Linked DNA regions of Drosophila melanogaster. The protein of the gene in region 2 purifies or fractionates together with the protein of the main gene of each other region. This does not show direct contact. Each region holds a gene or a part of one and is shown on either strand. Other genes may lie near its edges.

The links.
Region 1: the proteins of Kr-h1 (region 2) and SmydA-8 purify together in Drosophila melanogaster (affinity purification with western blotting; one study listed by BioGRID). This does not show direct contact.

What each region holds. Positions count from the first base shown.
Region 1 is NC_004354.4:2,204,954-2,210,546, forward strand, and holds SmydA-8 (SET and MYND domain containing, arthropod-specific, member 8), read right to left. Parts: upstream 3,726-5,593; 5' UTR 3,532-3,725; coding exon 2,581-3,531; intron 1,511-2,580; coding exon 1,073-1,510; 3' UTR 562-1,072; downstream 1-561.
Region 2 is NT_033779.5:6,089,598-6,097,047, reverse strand, and holds Kr-h1 (kruppel homolog 1), read right to left. Parts: upstream 5,637-7,450; 5' UTR 5,480-5,636; coding exon of another isoform or gene 5,228-5,479; 5' UTR 4,949-5,227; coding exon 4,804-4,948; intron 4,054-4,803; coding exon 3,341-4,053; intron 3,256-3,340; coding exon 1,895-3,255; intron 1,811-1,894; coding exon 1,492-1,810; 3' UTR 550-1,491; downstream 1-549. Other genes in the region: CG45075 (uncharacterized protein), read right to left, coding at 5,228-5,479. UniProt on the Drosophila melanogaster protein: Plays a general role in the hierarchies of gene expression leading to metamorphosis.

The DNA.
Region 1 (5,593 bases), on a different chromosome or scaffold from region 2:
CCACAGTGCCCTGTTTATTCCTACTCCATATTTTTTTGTTTTTTTTTCTACTGTAACTATAAATCTAGATACGTACTGATGCACACGACACTTGGTTAGATTAAGTCCTAGACCTAGGCCAGCCATGTACCGAGGTATGCGTGTATGCCGCAGCTATGGCATATCCGAATAATTGTGTACGGGCGACTGTCACCGAACCGCCGGCTTCTGTCCCCCGAGCCATGACCTCTGACCCCAGACCCCAGACCCCTGACCCCTGACCCCAGACCCCATTAAAGGCCCCCATTGCAAGTGCATGCAAATGTATGCCTACACGTACATGTACCCATACCAAATTATTGTTATTCTATTATGACTGTATGCCTGTGCGTGTGTGTCCGTCTGTGTATGCGCCATTAAAGAAAGCTTTTGTACAACAACAGAAAACCACAAAAGTCCATTTTGAAATCGATTGGCTGAAAAACCACACATGCCCCTGACAATGGGAATATGAAATGTGCGGGTAAGTAGCGTTGTGCTTGAAACAATCTATTTTTTACGAAATCAAATACGAAAGATACAGGCTCTAGAAATTCATACGCGTTAAGATTACTGCAATCAGTTTTGGCCAATAGCCCCAGAAATGCAATAGATAATCCATGTACCATATAAATCACATGCCATATACATACTGCCCAGTCGACTTGCTCCTCGTCAACACAGCATTCCTTTCACATACTACAGTGCTTGCCAAGACGATCCCAAAAAAACGAATGAGAGCCCAGAGAATCTACATCGTGGCAATTTTCAACTTGTTGGTCAATCGCAGACCGGTGATCTTCGTGGCTAGTTGGCTATTCATATTTATTGTCAGGGCACAGAGGCGTTCCTCGAAAGGGGTCCACATACAGAACGGATTGCAGATATAGTTCGAAAGGATTCGGTGTTTATTGGATTCTTAAGTGACTACGAATAAAATAGCAACAAAGGGCTCGGATGCGATTCACGCCACCCCGAAAAGTACGCATTCACAAAAGCACTCACTCATTCACACCTAAAAAAAAAAAAATGAAGTTTTGAAGCTAAATATGAATCACTGAATCTCCCCGGTGATCAGCTTCTTTAGGGTACACTCTCCGGCTCCCAGCTTGTGGAGGATGGCCAACACTTCCTCGCGGTAGCGATCCATGTGGCCCATCTCCTCCGGAGTGTACTCCTCGTGGTCGAACCGCGTCATCCTCCAGATCACATTCAGCTTGGCCTCGATCAGCACGTAGTTCGAGGAGGGACAGAAGCGCGGACACAGCTCGTTGATGAAGTGGATCATGTCCTGGACACTGCACGAGTTGATACGGTTATTGATGGTGTTCAGCGCGAAGTCCTGGTACTTGGCCATCTTTGCGTGCGGGAACACGTTCTCGCAAGTGATGCACCGCCAGTCCGGCTGCAGTGTCCGAGTCTGGACGGGAATCACCAGGCCACGGCAGCCCTGTTCCCGGCAGAAAAGCGCCGACAAGTAGGTGCCGTTTTCCTGCAAGAAGACAATGGTCAGTGAATCGAAGGACTTGGGGGGAATCAGGAAATCGGGGGTGGAATCTGCAGTCAAAGATCCGGCGGGTTCACGTCCGCCTCTGTCCATTCACGGCGTACAGTTGGTTCCACTCCGAATCGAAATGGAAATCGAAATCGAAATCAGAATCGAAATCAAAATTAACATTCTGTGTGTCATGCTCATGTAAATTTTGGGGGTGTGTGTTAGTAGCCCGGGAACTTTGGATGCCCACATTAAAGGCATATAGGCAAATAGGATCAATGGACTGATAATGTATGCCTCGGAGGTCTTGAACAAGAGTGCGTTTAAGGTGTATATTTAATAGCAAGAATGGAACTGTCCAACGACTGCAGGGCTGTGACAAAGATGTCTCAAGCTCACCCAACTCCCAACAAGTAATTTTGTTACTATGCCCATCAGGCAGTCATTTTAGCAGGGAAAAGTGCGTGTGCCTGTTACCAAATGTTGCCCCTTTGCCCACTTGATGGACACCCCCCCTTGGGCGCGCCCCTGGGCCCTGGTTGATGCAAATCATATAACTAATTTAATTAGGGAACGCATTTGTGTCAGGGGGCCTGGCCAGCGGCGGCCACTGCCAACGCCAGAGGCCATTATTCAACTCATCCCAGAGCGGCAGAGAGCGGCCACATAAATAGATGTGGCCGGCCGGATATGTGGATCGCGTACGTACATACATATATGCCCATGCCACTCACATCCCTACCACACGCGCACTTTCACAACGCCGGTGACATCGGCGTTGGCCAAGAAATGTGCCCGAAATTCAGAGCTTTTCAAATTGCAATTATTGTTTTTTGTTTTGGGACAAATATATTGCGATGGTCGCGATGCAGATGGCGGATAGGGAGAATGATAGCTATCAGGTAGGTTCAGAAAAAGAGGATTGGTGGAAAGTTTGGCGAAGATTGCTATTAACCATGAAGAAACTCCATCAGCCTAGAAATGACCATAGTCAGAAGCTAAGCTTGCAGATGGTGGGAGGAGGGATTACCCAAGGAGACCAGGATTCCTATTGGTACCGTACTCACAGTATTGTCGTGACACCTCACGCAGTCGCAGGCAAAGTGCTTGGTCATCTTGAGGAAGATATTCCGGGTGAGGTTGCCCCAGAGGATCTTGGTGTAGGTCGTGGTAATCTCACCGCCCTTGGGAATATCGCGCGCAGCCCGAACCACCGCCAGTCGACCGTTTTCGAAGTAGTGACTAGCGTTCGGGGTGCACTCGTGGTTCATGATCGCCGTGAGCGGGAACAGACCCCGCAGTAGCGTCTCGTGGCCGCCAGAGCGGCAAGGAGCCTCGAAGGCATTTGTATTGAGCACGCCCACGATCCGGAACAGCTGGTCCATGAACACCCGATCCGTGGTGGGGAAGTTCCGGAAGCATTGGGCCGCCTGGATGATCTCCCGCCGGTAAGCGCGCTCCGCATTCGCTTGCATGGCGTCCACCAGATGCCGCTGTTCCTTGCCCAAGTGGAAGACCCTCACTGCGGTGAGGATCCTCAGCGACATAGGATTCACCTGCTCCTGCTCCGCATCCACGTCTTTGGGCTGCCAGCGACGGAAGTGCTCGCACTCCGCCTGGTGCTCCTCGGAATCCGAACAGGTTTCGCATACGGGCAGGGTGCAGCGATGCCGGCAAAGGAATCCCGTTTGCGGCAGGGTCTCATGACAGCAGATGCAGCTGCTCAGTTGGCCCTTTCTCGCCGTCGGACCGGTGACTAGGGCTCGCTCCTGGAAGATCAGCTCGCCGGCGGCTATGTCTCGGGTGGCAAACACCCCACGACCTGCCACCGTGGAGGAGCTGATGGTCCAGTTGGGCTGCTCTTGGCGCAGATCCCCCAAGTGGACGTCTATCAGCTGCGCCAGCTGCTCGGGCGTGGTGTCGCGACAAGGGGCCATGTGAGCGCTCAGGGCGGCCAGTGTGGTGTCTCCTCCACCACCGCCTGGGCGAGGAGGCGGGCACTGGGCAGCAGTAGACATGGCGACTGCGGTGGGAGGTCGGTCGGAACTGCGGCGAACCAACGCGACGCGCGGCAACTCGGCGAGTGAAGATGTCTCCGCGCAGCTGGGCGGACTACGCGGGAATAGCAACGATATAGTGGCGACAGCGACGACAGCAGCAACATGAGCAGCGGCAGCAGCAGCAGCAACACCACCCAGCACATCAGCAACAACAGCAACAACTGACTGCCGACAGTGGAAGCAACCCAGCAAAGCAGCGACGCTTATGACGTGGACACACCGACGCCCTCGGAGAGCATTAGACACAACTAAAAAAACACAAATTAGAGGCATCCACCAGGGAACGGGGGAAGGCGATTGACGAAAGGGGCCGGGAGGTGAGGAACGGGAAATGGGGGGGCAAGGGGACAACAGCGACAACAGTCAAATATGATTTTTTCCAAGGCACACGCACACTGAAAGCACACACACTCGCCGCCAAGTTCCCATTTACGAAATCCAAAATAACATTTTCCCCGAAGGAAAGAACTTGAGCATTGTGTTCATTGTTTTGGCCAAAATTCGGGCTATTTTTAGGCAGCTTGACACAAAAGTTCAACACTTTTTGTGAGAAGCCAAAAGTTTTGATTCCGCGATAAGCGGTTTCGAAACGTTTTCGGAGTCGGGAACGTGGAGCCACTTGGTGCGCCACTGGGAAATAGAGACATTTGGCTGGGACGACGCAAAGCGGATTTTGCTTTTGACTCTTATTCAATTTGTGCTTGAGCTGTTGTTGCCGTGTGGTTGTTGCTGCCGCTGCTGTGGTTGCTATTGTTGCGTTCAATTGGATTCGCTAGTGGGCGTCCATCGGGGGTTGACGATCGCGAGGGGCATAGTGAAAGGCACTGATGCAGCCATCAGCCATCAGCCATTCAGCCATCAAAGAACATTTCCCACTGTCAATTTGTTCGCCAAACACCTCACTGTGGCTGAAACCCCCAGCCCCCTTCACCGAAGTCTGCTTGCGGTTGGTTATGGACGCCATAAACTGAAACGAAGCCATAGGAGCACCACCCACCCCATCTCATCCCCACCTCCACCCCCATCCCATCGCTATCACCATCTTCATCCGATTTCTGTCGCCCTACGACAATCTGAACGGTTGGCAAAATTATTTGTGGAGATGCAGCGCCATTGATACCAAGCGTGTTTGTCTCCCACGCTGCTACACTGGCCAAAAATGAGTGCACGACGTAATAGGCCGCTCATGGATAGGACTGTAAGCCCTGGAGAGTGTTGCCTAAATGCATACAACGTAGAATAAGAAATGAGTACTACAATCCTGGCTGGCAGTGCAACCCACTTTCTGCGGGTCTAACTACATATGGCAGTGCGTGTGGCCGGGACATAAATTAGGGCTTCGCTGGCCAATGAGTTGCGTGTTCCAGGGGCCAAGGGGTCGGAGACACCAGGCCGCAAAACGAGGTGAGCGTCGCAACACGTGACCTGGTGGGGAGAAGGACCAGTACCAGGACCATGACCAAAAATGGGGTGGCTCCACTCCCAGCTGTTCACTTTCCGACGCGAATGTCACGCACTGTCACATGTTCCAAAGTGGAGTAGGTTCGTCCTGCCACGCCCATTCTCTGCGGTAATACGTAAATCAGTTCTAAAGCGTACGACCTCCGTTCTCCCTGCTCCTGCTACGGACCGCCAGCAACTTATAGTTCGCCCACATTCCAAATCTATTTTCACTTTTACGCGCATTTTATTGGCCCAATCGAACGGAAGCTAGACTGAGCGGCATGAAGCGAATAGAACGCACTCGAATGCCAAATATCAAAAAGCGTGAATACCAACTGAAAAATTATAGGGTGCGTTCGGGCATTATCGACCATGAGTCCTTTAAAGCTATCATGATAAATATTATTACATTAGCACAACCACAACTTTTGTAATAGTCGATCAAATGTGGAATGCCATACCTTGTTGAATTCGTAGCTTAATTTCCTATCCAGTGGCATTCCCAGCTAAAAATATTAAAATTTCACCATTTTTCGAAAAAAAACGTGATGTAACCCCTTATAAAAAAGTGAAAATT
Region 2 (7,450 bases):
CCTCCATCATGTTAATTAGTTTAAGTGCATAGTTTGTGCCGGCTGCCTTATCTCTTATACTAATTGCAATGTTTGCTTAGTTGTATCATAATTTGTTTATCTCTCTAGCCACCGCAAACGAAGCCTTGCTCGTTTGGCAGCTTTGCCCGTTGTACATGATTTTTAAAATTTAATTAATATTTCATTTATACAAAGGCAGACAGGAAAACTGACTGCGTCTAGTTGAAGCAGTCAAATGAATTGTAAAACCATTTTTATAATCAAAATGTTAGCTAATCGAACTGTGGTGGGTTTAGCACACCATTCGTATAGTCACAAGTGAATGATATATAAAAATGCATTCAGTAATGAAATTTCGATGTTTTATTCGCATTCAATGAGGTGGCAAACATGGTAAAATATTCCAACGAGGGTTATTAACCTCCAACATTGGTGCATCTACATTTTCATCACCGAATTGGATCGAGTTACTTCATCTGCGATTTCTCAAGCGAAATGGGTAAGTTTTTTAAATTAAAACGCCCCATTAAAATACACATACACCGAATTGGTTTATTTCACGCTTGTTTATTGATTTTCAGATTTCATTTGCGTTTTTTCATGCAATATTTGATTTTAGAATTTAAATCTATGTATTAACTCTGCGTTTACAAAAACTATGCTGACGCTCTTAATTATATTTGTTATCTTCTGGTTTGAAAATGTATATAAACGTAGTTATGCTTGCTTTCTTCTTGTTTATCAGTTCAATATTCTCCGTGTGTAAAATTAAAGTTACCGATCCTTTTTCCTCAGTTTTCCCTTATTTAGTGTATAAAATGCATATAAAATGATGGGTACATGATGTCAAAGATGCCGTTGACACTAATCGTGGAGGGGAAGGAAGAAGTTTGGCGAGCAGAGTTCATAATAAATAAGTATTATATGTATTTTATAAATATTAAGCGCCAATATGGCCATGGTTTTTCGTTCTCATTAATATGTGTATATATGTAGTTATGCGCGTAACTTATTATTGTGTACGGTTTGGATTTGGGTTTGGGTTTGGGTTTGGGCGTCGTTAAGTGATCTTTTATATATAATTAACTTAGTTATATGCTAATGCTTAATACGCATAATGCCAATTGCTGCAATTTGACTAAGTGGACAACACAGGAAAACAAACTATACCTACATTGTATATGCCAAACTAAAATGAAATTTTGCAATATGGGTGAAACTATTTTCAAATCAAACATTCAACAAAACTCGGATCAAGCCAATAAAACGTAATAGGAGGTAATATTAATTTTAAAACAAATTTTTCCCTTTTTTAATACTTTTGGCATTTTCATTTTCGCTGCTGGAAAACTATCTCACTGCCATATCCATACGTTTCTATGCTTTCTTTTTCCAGGCCTAACCCCGAACCTCAGAGAAAAAACTTAGGCTAATTTCAGTTAGAATTTGTTTGGACAGTCTTAATGCTGATTGGGGATCGGCCTTGGACCCCTAGGAGGCCTTGGCGAACTGAATGACCGAGCTCATTCGCATCACCTTGGACCCGGGTCCATCCCCGGCGCCAACGGAAGCGGCACCACCGGCGGCGGAGGTGCCATCTCCGCTAGCCTTCTCCGAATCCACCTGACCGTCGTCGCCCTTGTTCATGTAGTGCTTGCGCTTGCGCAACGGCAGCGTCATCACGTTCCGGTCGGCCATCATCAGGGAGTCGCTCTCCGGCGAGGAGCTACGTTCCGGCGACTCCGTGCTGGAACGCAGGCCGATGGCCGCCTCCACGCGTCGCACAACGTCCGGATTGGGTAGAGCGGATCTGATGGGAATAGTAAGCAATTCGATTTAGTTATACTCTTAGACAAAAACACAAGCATCCGGCTTGGGGGACCAAAATACTCACTCATATTTGGGCACTGGTGCATAGCCCTTGTGCAGCCCGTGGCGAGCGAGATCACCACGCTTGAAGTGCTCGATCAGCACGGTGGCTTCATGGGTGTCATCGTAGTTAGCCGCTAGATCGCTGACGTGCAGAGTGGGCACCTGTGGCTGGTGGCTTGGCGCCGGCTGCTCCGTTGGGGGTAAGGAGCCGTGGCCGCGGCACAACTGCATCATTTGCCAGGCGGCTGCGTGCACATCCTCATCCTGCACCTGGTCATCGTTGTCGTCATGGCGACGCGCAATGCTGGCCGCTTCAAGCAGGGCAGGATTGATGGTTAGACCAGCGGGTTGTGGCTGCAGTTCGAGTAGACTTGGCGGTGCCTGGTAGTAGTCCACAGTGCTTTCTGGCAGCTGACCCTGGACCTGTTGCATGCTCAAATCTGTGGGCTCCTCGTCTGCATAGGTGCTGTGGGCGGGCTGGGCGCTGGACACGCCGCTGTCCCGGCTCAAGGCATCCGCCTCCATCTGGACGGGCAGGTAGTGGGCCGATGTGGGTGGTGGCGAGGCCATGCTGCTGGCCGATGGCGAGTATGTGGAGCTGAGTGAGCTGGGCGAGAGCGGCGAGGAGGTAGGGATGGAAAGGGTGGCTGCAACGGTTTTGGAAACGCGCGGCTGGCGAGCCTGGCGAGGTTTCTTTGTGGCCGGTGGCGAGCTGGGCGGCGAGTGGTTGCTGCTCTCGGAGTTGCTGCTGACTCCTTGCAAGGACGGCGATCCGGCGGAGGAGCCTGCGGACGTTGATGCTGCTGCCGACGCAGCCGCCGCCTCCGCTTCGTCGTCGGGTACTTCGTTGGCATGGCCCTTGATGTGGGCCTCCATCTCCTTCTTGTTCTTGAACGTCTCGTCGCAGATGGTGCACTTGTAGCACTTGGAGCCGTAGTGCTGGACGCGATGCAGTTTCAGCACATGATTGTAGCCAAAGTCCCGGAAGCAGATGTCACAGTGGTAGGGCTTCTCGCCCGTGTGCGTTCGCGAGTGCACCTTGAGCTGCTTGGAGCAGGTGAAACCTTTGCCGCATCCCGGCTCCGGGCACTTGTACGGCTTCTCGCCGGTGTGCGTGCGCATATGGATCACCAGCTGGCCGGACTGGATGAATGTCTTCTCGCACACGGAGCACTTGTGTGGCCGCTCGCCGGTGTGAATGCGCATGTGGCGGTGCAGCTTCCCGGAGTGTTCGAATGCCCGTCCACAGACGTCACACTTGTACGGACGCTCCTTCGTGTGGATGCGCCGGTGCACCTGGAGGTTCTCCTTCACGCTGAACAGCTTGTGGCAGAACTCGCACTCGAATGGCCGTTCACCAGTGTGGGTGCGGTAGTGGCGGATCTAAAAGCGAAGGAGATATATTACTTATTAATATCACTGATATGGTGGTCCAAATATTTCAAATCTCTGTTTTCGTGACACTTACCAGCCTGGCGGGTACGGCGAATGTTTTCTGGCAAACATTGCACTGATAGGGATCTGCTCCGGCGGCCACGTTGGCCAGCGGCTTGATGGTGGGGCTCTTGGGAATGCCCACCGGCAGACCGGCATCATTGAGCTCGATGGCCGCGGTTGAGACGGGCGCAGCAACGCCGGCTCCAGAGGCGCCATTAAGCGACAGATCTTGGTTCTTCGAGTGCGACTTGGTGTGTGAGGTGTGGGCGGACTTGCTGCCAAAGGTCATGCCACACTGGTCGCACTTGAATTGCGGTTTGCTGGCGCTGGGCTTGCGCACCTGCGACACCACGGCTGCCGACGCTGGGAATCCGCCGACGGGCTCTGTCTTGATCCGCTGGGCTGATGGAGCTGCTGTGGGTGCTGCGTTCGTAATACTTTCATGTTGCTGCTGTTGTTGCTGCTTCTGATGCTGCTGGATGGCCAGTTGGTAGCTGACAAACTGCTGCTGCTCCTGCTGGTGCTGGTCCTGTAGCTGCAGTTGCATTTGTCGCTGCTGCGGCGTCTGCAGCAGCTCGAAGTGCTCCTGTTGGCCGCCGGATGGCGGAACTCCTAGGCCCACGCTCGTGGTCGTCGCTGTTAGTGGAGGCGGAACCTGGAGGCAGAACTGCGCCTGACTAGATTGTTCCGTTTTTATAAGCAGCTGGTTGGCGGAATAGTAAACCATTTTGGTTGTGGCTGAATCTGGAAGAGGGCGAAAAAGAAGGAGCCGCATTAGATTTTTGACCATAGTTAACTAGTTTGATACCTGACCAAAATAGTTGGTTCTAAATAGACTTAAGTAATAATACAAGAAATTATAAATTAGATACTGCTTATTAGTTATATTAGCAACCTATTGTTTGGTTTTTGTGGTTCTACAAAGCCAGCTTAACCATAGTATAAGGTCTAACTCCTTTGCCCCCCATCAATTCACAATCTGCGTCTCAGGAAAAACACGGAAGCAGATAGAAAGTGCAATACGGGTGGTTAGGAAAAGTCTCGTAAGAGCCAAAGGAAAAAAGGGCGTAAAGGGGAAAACCCACCCCGTGAATTTGTGCTACGCACTTTCTGTTATTGCCGGCCGGGGTTTTCCAAAATAAGGAAAACCTAGCGAGAGCTTATGGGGGGAGGAAAAGCGAAGGCGCAGGAGAGTGAGAGCCAGAGGAAATGGGAAAAATTTCATTGAGAACCCTGCCTCGAAAATGTCCCACTTGGGATATTTGGGAGATAGCATTACGAATCGTACGGTTTCCAACCGGCATTTCCCGTTGCCATCCTGCTCGCTCGCACTTTCTGTATCAGTCGCGCTGTTGTATTTTTTTTTTTTTTTGTTATGATAGTATGAACGAACCCCACAACTTCCCCCAAAACAAAAATTGCGTATACCAAAACAAAATGGCGTCGTGAGGGAACTTTTTCGGTCTGAATTTTTAGGAAAAGCATCTCAATTACCTTTCGCCGGCGATTTTTTGACGGCAACAGCCTTTGCGGGACTCTTGGATATATCGAGCAGTTCCGTGCCCGATTTCTTGAGAACATCCTTAATCCAAATTTGTTTGGGTGCCCAAGATTTTGTATCATTCTTGCTTTCAGTCATCTTGCTACTGCTCCATACAGGTTTTCCTCCTAATAATACTTTTTGATTGTTCAAGTCAAATCATTCAATTGTAAGCAAGTCTAATTTATAATATAGTTTATAAGTTTGAAGAGATCTTTTCTTATTCAATGTGTATACTTGTAAATTTATTCATTGATTTGAGTTTACAAAATCAGACTTTAGCGCTGAACTCGTGTCAGTTTTTCAGTATCAGTCCCTCGATTTGTATATCAGCAGTCTTAAGATTTATTCATTCATTTAGCTCGTCTCATGACATTTTTAGACAAGGATTTTCATTTGACGCGTGATTTTCTCCTTGATCAGGTTCTTCTTGATGATTTTGATGATTTTCTTCAAGTCCTTCGACTGTTGCACGGGATAGGTGTGTTGGTAGTGTTGCATATTTTGCGGAGGCTGCTGTTGGTGCTGATGATTGCGGTATTGGTGGTGCTGACCGCCCTGGCCCGAGCCCTTGTTCATACGCATTTTTCTGAATGATCTCAAAATATCGTTCATTGAAAAGTCGGTCATTTTCGAGGTGTGGACCACACACACACACACACACACAAGCACACGCACACGCACAACACCCGTACAAACAACACTTAACGGAGTAGAATGGGATTCAGATTATGTTCACATCGCCGCTCCCGAGGTTTTCGGTTCGATGGTGTAACGGAGACTGGTGGGTGAGTTCCCGAAAAATCTGCCTCAAACCCTGTCACGGAAAAATCAACCACCACCAACAAGAATGGTCCCATTGGATCTGAAATTTCCCTCAATTGGAAAATGTTTGAGTGCGATGACAAGGGAAATTTTCGAGTGTTTCTTTTTTTTTTGAGTTTGAGTGGTTTCGGACTTTTCCGATGACATTCTCTTTTATGGAGCACCAAAATTTCCCCGAGCTCAGGGAAATTTCATTGGTATCTAAGTTATCTGCGACGTTTATTATTTCAGACTAATTGAAAATATGTACATATACAAGCATTGAATAAACTTTGAACTCTGAAGTGATTTCATTTAAGTGATGTAATTAGTTGGGTTTTCATTGATAAGATTCTAGCATTTGAGTCATAAATGCAACGAATTAGGCAATAAGTTCTGATAGTTCTTATCGCAGTCTTATAGTTATTATTCTTTAAAGTACCAAAGTCCAACTTGCTTGCCACACTTAGCATACCAATTAACTAACAATTGCGGCAACTATACGTTTAGAGGCTACAAAATCTCAGGGATATATTTTGAGCAGTCCATCTATAGAAAGCCAACGACCAGTTTCCACCTTCAACAAGCGAACATTTATAAGAAACCCTCCCAAAAAACAGAATGAGCACGAGAAGCAAATGTTGAAATACAAAAGTTTCGGTGAAGGCAGGTTCAAAAAACTTTATCGGCTTTCGTTGTTATTGTGTCTGAATGTTTATTCGGCTGGCTGTGCGTTAAACTAGCGCAAAAGTTCATTAACATTCGACACAAAAACTATTTTTGAGTGAGTGCGGTGTTGTTGGAGGGCAGAGAATGATCACCGATCCCCCGATCCCCCGATTCGTGCGCTCGTGCTCTTTTGGGTTGCCCGACCAAAAAGTTTCTGAAGGTATGAACGACACAATATTTTTTGAGGGGGAAAGACACAATTATCTCTTATGAGTTGCTTCCCAAAACGGGGGGCAGCTAGAATGGGAAAAACGAGGGGAGGGGATTCAGCTGCGGTTCGGAAAAGTTAAAGTGCCGTTATTTTGTTGGGATAGCTCTGAAATAAAGCGACTTAAAACTGGTCTTTAATGGAAGTGATCGCCGTGTTTGGATAGATCAGTAAAGTTGCTTGGCGGTCAGTATGAAAGCTAGATACAAACAGATACCAGATTGAACGTGAAACGCTCAAACGAAACTAAACTAAACTAAAAGAAGTATTTATATTAAAATTATAATTAAATTCACTTCGGTTCACTTCCAAAAATACACCCTATTTACACATGCATAGCTATTTTACACGTGGAGATACATACGCAGAGATACAGATACATAAATTGAGTTGGTTTGGATTCGGTGTTGCTTTTTGGTGTCTTCTTTGTGGACTTTTGATGGGGTCATTGAACACTTAAATATAAGCAAATTGTAAGCTTTTCACTTCGCTTCCCCCCTCGAATCGGATTTTTTTATAAAATTACTTCTGCTCCCGTCGAGAGTATCTATTCCAACCGGAGGATCGCGTTAACATTTCACATACATATTCTAGCTAAGGTTCGATGAGCCCCGATAAGATAAGGCAATATAACACGACACGTTCGCCGTTTTTCAATTCATAGGATGTCCCTCAATGAAATTGTACGCTAAAGTTAGGGCTCTAGGCAGACTTATCAAACGAGAACTATCAACAGCGATAAGATATTGAAATTAAGCGAATGAAATTGGAGTGACTGGAAATTCCATGGTGGGGAATATGGCCGGAAGGATTGAAAATTCCAGTCTAAAGCACAATTATTAACCTTCGACTATTAAGGC